2 linked regions of the Xenopus tropicalis genome follow. The protein of the gene in region 1 interacts with the protein of each later gene in a pairwise test. Links are inferred from orthologs where the notes say so. Each region holds a gene or a part of one and is shown in the gene's direction. Other genes may lie near its edges.

Evidence for each region.
Region 2: the proteins of spdef (region 1) and nkx3-1 interact in a two-hybrid assay, tested with the Homo sapiens proteins (2 studies listed by BioGRID). The link is inferred for Xenopus tropicalis from reciprocal best matches to the Homo sapiens genes SPDEF and NKX3-1.

Annotation. Positions count from the first base shown.
Region 1 is NC_030678.2:69,241,282-69,245,719, forward strand, and holds the start of spdef (SAM pointed domain-containing Ets transcription factor), read left to right. Parts: upstream 1-1,480; 5' UTR 1,481-1,520; intron 1,521-4,403; 5' UTR 4,404-4,420; coding exon 4,421-4,438. UniProt on the Homo sapiens protein: May function as an androgen-independent transactivator of the prostate-specific antigen (PSA) promoter. Binds to 5'-GGAT-3' DNA sequences. May play a role in the regulation of the prostate gland and/or prostate cancer development.
Region 2 is NC_030679.2:127,289,010-127,293,612, reverse strand, and holds the start of nkx3-1 (homeobox protein Nkx-3.1), read left to right. Parts: upstream 1-1,802; 5' UTR 1,803-2,054; coding exon 2,055-2,286; intron 2,287-3,846; coding exon 3,847-4,250; 3' UTR 4,251-4,603.

The DNA of each region.
Region 1 (4,438 bases):
TTGTGTCATTTGTTAGCACTGCTGCTGTGTAGTTCTGGGGTCCTGAATTGTATTCTTAGAAAGGACACTGCTTGTGTATTGTGTAATGTGTAATGTGTATTATTTCACATAATTGTACTGAATTTTCTCCATTCTCCTCTGACTCTAAAAAAGTACTGATTGGTTAACTAGCTCCTGATGAAATTGATCCTAGTGTATGTGTTTTGTGAAGTTATGAGCAACTAAACTTTATCTTACCCACTATAAAATTTTGTGACATTATTTACCTTAATTCCCTGTGTAGAAATAGAAATTGTTTTGAATTTTGGCACTAGACTATATAAGCGTTGTGTACAGTAGTGTCAAAGTGAGGTCAAAGCATATATGAGCACCAAAAATTTTGATATCACAAAGGTGATCTCAGTTTATTAAACTGGCATTTTATCCTGCAATATTTCTGGCACAAGTCATTCTTAACTTCTATAGTATTGTAGTAAAAAATGCCTATGTGCAATAGCAAATAGGCTAATGAAGTTGTTGAGTGTTCTGTTCTATTTCAGATAATTTTGAGTCAAGAATTTTGTTACTTTATTTCATTTGGCTAGTAAATTTACAGGAAAGAAAGGGTGTGTGCTTAGTGCGCAAATGTGTATTTATAGTGATTATGAGATAATCATTAAGCACCCTCAAGCTATTAGGTGTCACTGTAAATTCTTTTCATTAGGCTTCATTAACATTGCGAGTTTTTCTGTGCTATACATTTTTGTTATTTCTATTTGAATGGGAATGCATAGTCTTTGCCCACCCACCAAAAACAATCATGAAATTTGCAAGTAATAAAGTGTATGGGAATGTTTAGTTGCTTATGTGTTACTTAAGGGTTAAGCGGGCAGGTCCTGCACCTGTTAGATTTGAGCACACACAGGTTGTGTTTACACAGGTACGGGACATTACTATATAAACTATGATGGTTCGACGAGAGAGCGAAAGGAACAGAGGCAGCCAGGTGAGAGTGTATAGAGACATCTGACAGAAATAATAGTGGTGGACAGTGTGAAGATGGGAGTCTGATTTTAAAAAAAGAAAAGAAGAAAGAAAAGGGCAGAACATAGGTGAATAAAATAGTAGTGATAGAAAAAGAGAACAAAAGAGTAAAGAAAATAGGTAAAGGGGGAATTTGTAAAAAATGCCAAGTTAGATAGATAAAAAGTAAAGGAAAAGTAAACCTAAAGGAAAGGTAAAACATGTGTATGATAGAAAGAAATTAAACATAGAGTGAAGTTAGAAGGAGGAAGAAAGACGAAGACATCACTTACTGGACACGTGTCTCTTCCAGGATTTAAAGCATCGTCAGCGAGAGACAGAGGGAGGAGAGTGGAGTTAGAGGAAAAGAGGAGGGAGAGCAAAGGAAAGAGAGGGAGGTAGAAAGTAGAGAGAGGTAGAAAGTAGAGAGAGGTGACAGTGGCAGTAACAGTGGTGTCATAGAGCTGCCACATATGTCCAAGTAACATCCTACAAGTGAAACTTCTCATAACAGACAGGTAATGTTTAAACATTCTGTAAGATTTAAGTCATGTTATTTGTTTTGTGCTATACTAACAAAGTTGCTGGACTTATAGGTTTTGTGCTGTGAAATAATGTTCATGTCCTATAGCAAATTATGTTTTGCATTTAAGAGGTTTTATATTGCATGTTTATGTCAAATATGGGTAATTTTCTGGGTATTAGAGGATAAAAGGTGGAGATGTATTTTGGGATTTTTGTGAAGGTCCTTATCAGTTTATTTCTGCAGGGTTGGTCCCATTAACTTAGATCCCATAATCTGAGGTAAATTGTTTTAGGTTTCTGTGTGTGGTAAACCTTCTTCAAGAAACAGAGTTATGTATTAGACTGACACAGTCAAAATAGCAACAACATGCACTTTTAATTGTACTACTTTTAATTGTATGAGTATCAAAATTACAGTTTTATATATGATGGTGTGTGAAATTACCTTATTACAAATTCATCTTTATATCTATGTACAAAACACAAAAGAAAAACCTTTTTAAAAACCTCAAACTTTGATGAGCCTTGTAAACTATGGAAACTTGGGCTGCCATAATAAAAGTCAGTATGGTGCTGTAGCTTTAAAGTCTGTAAGGCTAACCTAAAGTTGCAAAATAGTTTATAGAACATAGCAGTGGTGGCATTTCTTTATAATCAATTGCATGGAGTTCAAATACTTATTTCTAACTATAAAAGCTTAAAAGAAAGGATGCTATAAAACAGCCTCAGCATTAACATTAGAGGGACAATAAAACAAAAAGGGGTCTATAGATGAAGCAGCAACTTAGGCAGGTGACTCTGTCAATGTGTGTCCCTGCTTGTGATTCTCTGTGTCACCATGTCCTTGTGGAAAGAACACTCTGCTCTGGGCTCATTCGCATTTGAATGTGTTCCAAGGAATTCTTTTTGTATTTTTATTGTGTTTTTACAAAACAAATCCTGTCCATAAGAATGCAAAGGTATAGCTAGTCTGTTCATACATCATTGTATTTGTTAATTTGATTTTCTTGTTTGTCATAAATAACTTTTATTTTTCTCTGTCAGTTCTTCCCCTTTCATTGCTATGTTCCCCTTTCATAAGCTATGTTCATATACTCTTGGTACCATAAATATTAAAGCTTTTATAGATTAACTTTATATATTTTATATTTAATCTGCACCTATTTGTCATGTTACAATTACTTGCCTTAAAATATCATGCATTCTGATTGCAAGGGGTTATATCTATCACAAAGTTACAAGAGAGTTCTTTAAAGTATTGACATTTTCATACACATTGGATATAAAGTAGTCCAGCTAACACTCTGTGGGGATAAACCATCTGACCTTAGAACAGTCAAGGGAATCATTTGTCTTGGCTTCCCCATTCTCCACAGTTTCATCTCTTTGAGAGAGTGGTCCCTTTAACAGGCTTAGATGTTCCTTTATCTCTGCTCAGCCACTGGAATATATGGGATTTAAAAATTTTAATCACCACTTAGCAACATATATAGGATTTAAAACACAAAAAGCACTCACCATGTAGTGTTTTATTCTCTCGGTTTTTGCAACATTGCCTAGGTTGTAAAGATGATTAAAAACGTAAATAAAAGTGAATCCATTTTGTGCAGTGTTTAAGAACTGAGCCACTGAAGCTAAGTGAAGTACAGACACTGTAAAATGTAGGATGAATGTTATACGTGGTTAAAGGAAAACTAAAGCTGAACAAAGATTTAGGCTACAAAATGCTACACCTTATGTTTTGGTATTTCATACCAGCCAAAAGCCCAGCACAACCCTTATCAATGAAGATCTGTGCCTCTGAATATGCCTCTTTCCATCTTCTTTTTTTGCTGAATCACAGAATATGCCCTGGGCTGCTGTCAGTCAGCTTAGGGAGCTTAGGGACGTAGTCATAATATACAGCAGGGGTCCCCATCCTTTCTTACTTGTGAGCCACAGTCAAATGTAAAAACACTTGGAGAGCACAAGCATCATAAAAGTTCATGGAGGTGCCAAATAAGGGCTAAGATTGGCTATTAGGTAGCCTCTATGCACACTATCAGCTTACAGGAGGCTTTATTTGGTAGTAGTTTTTATTTAACCAAAACTTGCCACCAAGTCAGGAATTCAAAAATAATTAACTGTTTTGGGGTTGGTGAGCAACATGTTGCCCACAAGTCACTGGTTGGGAAACACTTATATACAGTATATGTACAGAGTAGCTTCATAGATAATGGAAGAAAATTTTGAAAGTAATACTAATAATTCAGAATTAAAAGACAGCAAATGAACTAGTGCACTAGTGAACTAGCGTAATACTGATACAGGCATGGGACCTGTTAACCAGTATGCTTGGGACAAGGGGTTTTCTGAATAAGGTATTTTTCCATAGTTTGCTTCTTAACAGCTGCTCAGAGCACACTTTAGCAAACCCCTGTGCGCAAACACAAGGGGGCAAGAGTGTGCCCCTTTGTGCTCATCTGTGAAGCACTTACTTCCAGGGATGTGTTGATCTCTGCATGGAGTGCCAGATCAAAAATGGTGCAGCCCTCTCTTTACCACCAGTCTCAGGGCTGTACCTTGGGCCTCTGACTGTTGCATATAAATGGTCCCTAAAGTGTGTGCAGTGCCATTGGCACTTAAAAGAATGTCCTAACAATCTAAAATGTGGAGAACTTTGATGGTATGCATCATTTCTGTTATTGGATTCCCTAACCAATGAACTTGTATAGAAAGTTTAGTATTTAAAATACAGCGTGTGTTTAAGCTTTAGTTCTCCTTTACACTAAGACATTTAGGACCAAACATAAGGTAATGTGAAAGAGAAAGAGGGTTGTTTAGAATTTGAGCTATATTATAAGCAAAGGTTAAATATTTTTCTATCCATCCCACAGATATTGCCACCTCTGAAATGGGCAGTAATAGTGCA
Region 2 (4,603 bases), on another chromosome or scaffold:
TTCCTGTTTATAGCTGAGGGGGAACGTATACATATGTATATATAATTATTCAGCTCTAATCCAAAAACCCCTGGAGTGGAAGGAGTTTCTTCTTGTGAAAAGGAAGCAGCCCGAGTGGCTGAGACTGGAAGGCAAACACAAGTAAAAGAAGGATTATGCCCAGGAAGCAGGTCTGACCAGTGGCGGGCTGTCTGTGCCCAAGCGTGTGGCAGCACAGGCAGCGGGTGCTGTAATTAACTGCACTATAATTAGCCATTGTCGCCAATAACTAATGATAGCTGTAACCAGAAAAGCATTCTGGGGAATGAATACATGTTATAGGCACTAAACCATTTGCACCCGAGCAGACAATTTTTCCCTCCCACCATGAGAAATAGCAACTGGGTGGGTTCTGGGTGGTATCTACAAGTTACTGGGCCCCTAGTGGAATCATTTTAGGACCCCACTATACTTCGGTAATAAAACATATTTAAACATATACTCAAGCTGTTTTATAGTCAGTCTCCAACCCTCACAATGTCTGCTTCTCCACATAGTGAACTACAACTCTCAGAGCATGCTCACTAATCATTGGCTAACAGAAATTGCTGGGAGTTGTAGTCTAGAACAGTTCAACTGGCTAAAGCAGAAGGAAATCTCAAGCATGTGCCTAGGACACAACGGTGTGGGGGCAGGGGGGGGGGGCGTCATTATTGAGCTGGGGGGCTGTTTGGGCCTCTGTATACTTGAAGCGCCAGGGCCTATTTTGAATCCCAGTCCAGACCTGGTATGAATTGCAGGGCAGTGACATACAGAGAAGTTACTAAACCTCACAGCAAAATCATTCTAAGCCCCTCTACCTTTTGTGAATAAGACCTTTCTTATTAATCTAAATTGACACACTGGCTTGGGCCCCCCAGAATTCACAGGGACAGCTCCCTCTATAGTTTCACCTCTGGTGCAAGGGTTGCAACTGCACTAGGGTATGCAGGGACCAATGGTCCATACTATGATATACCAGAATATAGAGTTGATGTGACAAATGATTATTTGGGATGAGCACGGGGGGACCTTTGTATATGACAGGGGTTTCTGGGAAATGTAGTCTAGCTGTAGCTAGAGTGATACCTGCCAACCCTCTAATTAACTGGAGACTGGCTGGATTCCTCATTGGTTCTTCTATTTACTAGAATGTATGTATATACAATGAGAGTACACTGGGCTTGGCTTCATTCATCCAAATTAAATCCATAGCAGATTTACATGGAACAGGAAGTGTTTACCCTGTAAACAAACAGTACATGGATGTGCAAGAATGAGTGAGAACCACTAATGTGCCAGTGCCTGAGGACTCATTAAGCCCATTATGCTGCTAATGATGACAATTACTGTGTTAGTTAAACCCGCTTAGTCTGATAATCACCGAGTGGCTGCAGTTGCCTTTCTGGTACCAATATATATAGTGCATGTGAATGGCATCCAAGCTGTATATTTTATATGTGTTAACAAAACTATATATATATATATATATATATATATATATATATATATATATATATATATACACACATACATACACTTGGATAAATATATGGGACTGGTAGACTTATGAGAGAGCACAAAGCAAGTTTCCAAGCAGTGTCTTGCACAGTAGCTGTTCCAGCAGGGGAGGGGAGATAAGGATTTGGTGATTCCTCCCCTGGGTGTAACATAAGCTGCTGTACCTGTGTGGGGCAGTCTGTGGGAAGGCAGGGGTGTCAGCCTGGCCAATCAGAAGAAGGCTGGCTTAATACTGGGGAGCTATATGTACTGGAGATGGAGAGGCCAGTAGAGAGATGAGAGAGCAGAGGGCAAGGCGCATTGGTGGGCAAAGTTAGGGTAGCCAGCAGCATAGAACTTACCCACACTCCACCTAAAAAGCCATTTATTATTTTCTATACTTCTGTTTATTACCTGTTATTCCAGAAGTCTAAAACATAATTTAGAAGGTTATTTCCCCTAGCCTGTTTTACCCAGGACAACCTTGCACAATCAGGGTAGGCACCTTATACCCCAGCCCAGAGCACTTAGCGAGGATGTCTCAACAAGGAACAGAAGACCTGTCCCTTCCTGCCAAGCCACTGAAATCCTTCCTCATCCAAGACATTCTGTCACATATAGGACCTGGGAGAAAGGAAAAAAGCCTGGACTCCCCAAAGACAGACCAGGACCAGGATTCTTCCTTGGGGGGCAAGAAGGAGAACTGTACCCCAGAAAAACAACAGTCATCGTCCCAACCTGCAGAGATGCACCACAGCCAGATGGAAGGTCAGTGCAAAAGTTTATATGTCAGGATTATTGACATGAAGGATAACTTACCTTTAGCCATTCCACATAGATGAGCTGGGATGAGTAGTCCTGAACCTGTAGGGAGGTTTGTGCTGGTAACAAGTGATGGGTATATGAGATATGAGATGATACTGTAGCTGAGTACATAGTTAGTTGTTGAGGTTACTTTTAGCCCCAATGTATTATAGTGCTTAAGCTGGTTAGCTCCCCTTGCAGCCTCAGTTTGACTTGTTACCCTATCTTGGAAAGCTTGGTGGCATATGTTCTAATTATGACCCATACAAACAAATGGGTAACATTACTAGCACTGTGTCCCGGTTTTTACAGAATAACTGAAGCTGCAAATGGGCTGATTGAGGTCATTGCTATAAAGTTATCCCCTGCCAAGACTTCCTTTCCTCCTGCTGGGTCCCAGAGTGGAAACAAATGTTTGCCAAGTGGCACCGCTAGAAGCCTAGTCAGGGGTCAGAACACTGCTTGTTGGGAGTCCAGGATGTAGAAATACTTATTAAAATGTAAGATGTGTGGTTACCCTCTGCATTAGGTTTTATTATTACTTCATATTAGAATAGAGCTTTCTGGAGCATTGTACATAAATCTAACTTCCTGTTGTTGTTGAACTACAGCCGTTAACACGTGCCCCTTCTTCATTTTATATTGTGTAGCTCATTAATCAAAGGAACCTATTTTAAAGCAATGTATTAAGCCTTATTGACAAGGTCAAAATAATCTTTCTAGGGCAAATGAATTATGCAAAGCCCATGCAATGCTTATGGGATGTGTCCCAGTGATATGTAGGTAGCAATTGGAGCTAAACATATTTTTACAAATAAATATATATATATATATATATATATATATATATATATATATATTAATAATGCAAAACAGTCAGGACCCCTACTGTGCCCTTCTGTCCCCCTGTAGTTATTGGATATGCTCTGTTTCTATGCCCCTGACTATGGACCAGCTTGTCTCTGATATCTGTATCCTATCTTTGTAATAAGACTGGCCTATGCTTATAATACACAAAAGGCTGTCTTGTACAATATAGTGCTTAATGATGTCATCAGAAATGGCACTTTCAGTGATTCCACTTGTGTAACATGAACTATTAAAGCTTGTGTATTATTACAAAATACTTATATACCCCTATTTAGAATTCCCCTCAGAGTTCTGTGACCTGTATAGAAGCACTGGCCTACAGGTTTTGGTCTCAGGTCACAGAACTTCTTTACGGTGACTTAGATTGTAAGCTTTACGGGGCAGGGACCTCCTTCCTACTGTGTCTCATACCACATGGCACTTACTCCCTGTGTATTTATACTTATTTATTGTATTTATTATAACACTTTTCCTTCCTGTGTGTAATTCTGTATATTTTAAGATTGTACAGCGCTGCATACCCTAGTGGCGCGTTATAAATAAAGTTATACATACATACATACTTCTAATAGCCTAATATTTTGCAATAGAATAGCAAATCATTCTTAGATATATTTCTTTTATTGACTCTTCCCCTTCCTCATCTTTCATCAGATGAAAATGTGGAGCTAGACCAAGCTCAGCCAATATCCCCGGTGGAAAAGAAACTAAAGCTGCAACAGAAACGATCCAGAGCTGCCTTCTCCCACTCTCAGGTCATAGAGCTGGAAAGAAAGTTCTCCAGCCAGAAGTACCTGTCTGCTCCAGAGAGAGCCCAGCTTGCCAAGAGCCTGAAACTGACCGAGACCCAAGTAAAGATCTGGTTCCAGAACCGGAGGTACAAGACCAAGAGGAAGCAGCTGGCCACTGATATGGAGGAGGTAGAGAAGTCCTCAGCTCACCCTGTACGGAGCAGAGACACAGACATCAGCCGAGCTTCACTCCTCAGCTTTTACCAGAACTATCACTGCTACCCCTACCTGTATTACCTGGCAGGGTGGCCCACGCCTCACTGGTGACCTCATCCTTAGGCTACTGGGACTTTCTAAATTATAATATATTTTTCTATTTTAAAACTAATTTTGATACCTTGAAATCTAGCTAGACAGGACTTGTAGCGGGATGAATAGCTATTTAATACTTATACCTTGCACTAAAGGACAATAAAGCCACCTACGATTGGCTGCAATAAGACATTGACTTGAAAACACTTGTTGCTTTTAGTGGAAGATCGCAAATCTATTGTTTCTATATTGCTATTGTTGAGTAATAACTCCCAGCATTCCCTTAGAGTGTTCGCACATAGGGGACTGTGGGAGCTGTGGTTTAGCCAAAGCTTTAAGGTCCCTGCTGGGATTGAGAGTCATTGCTA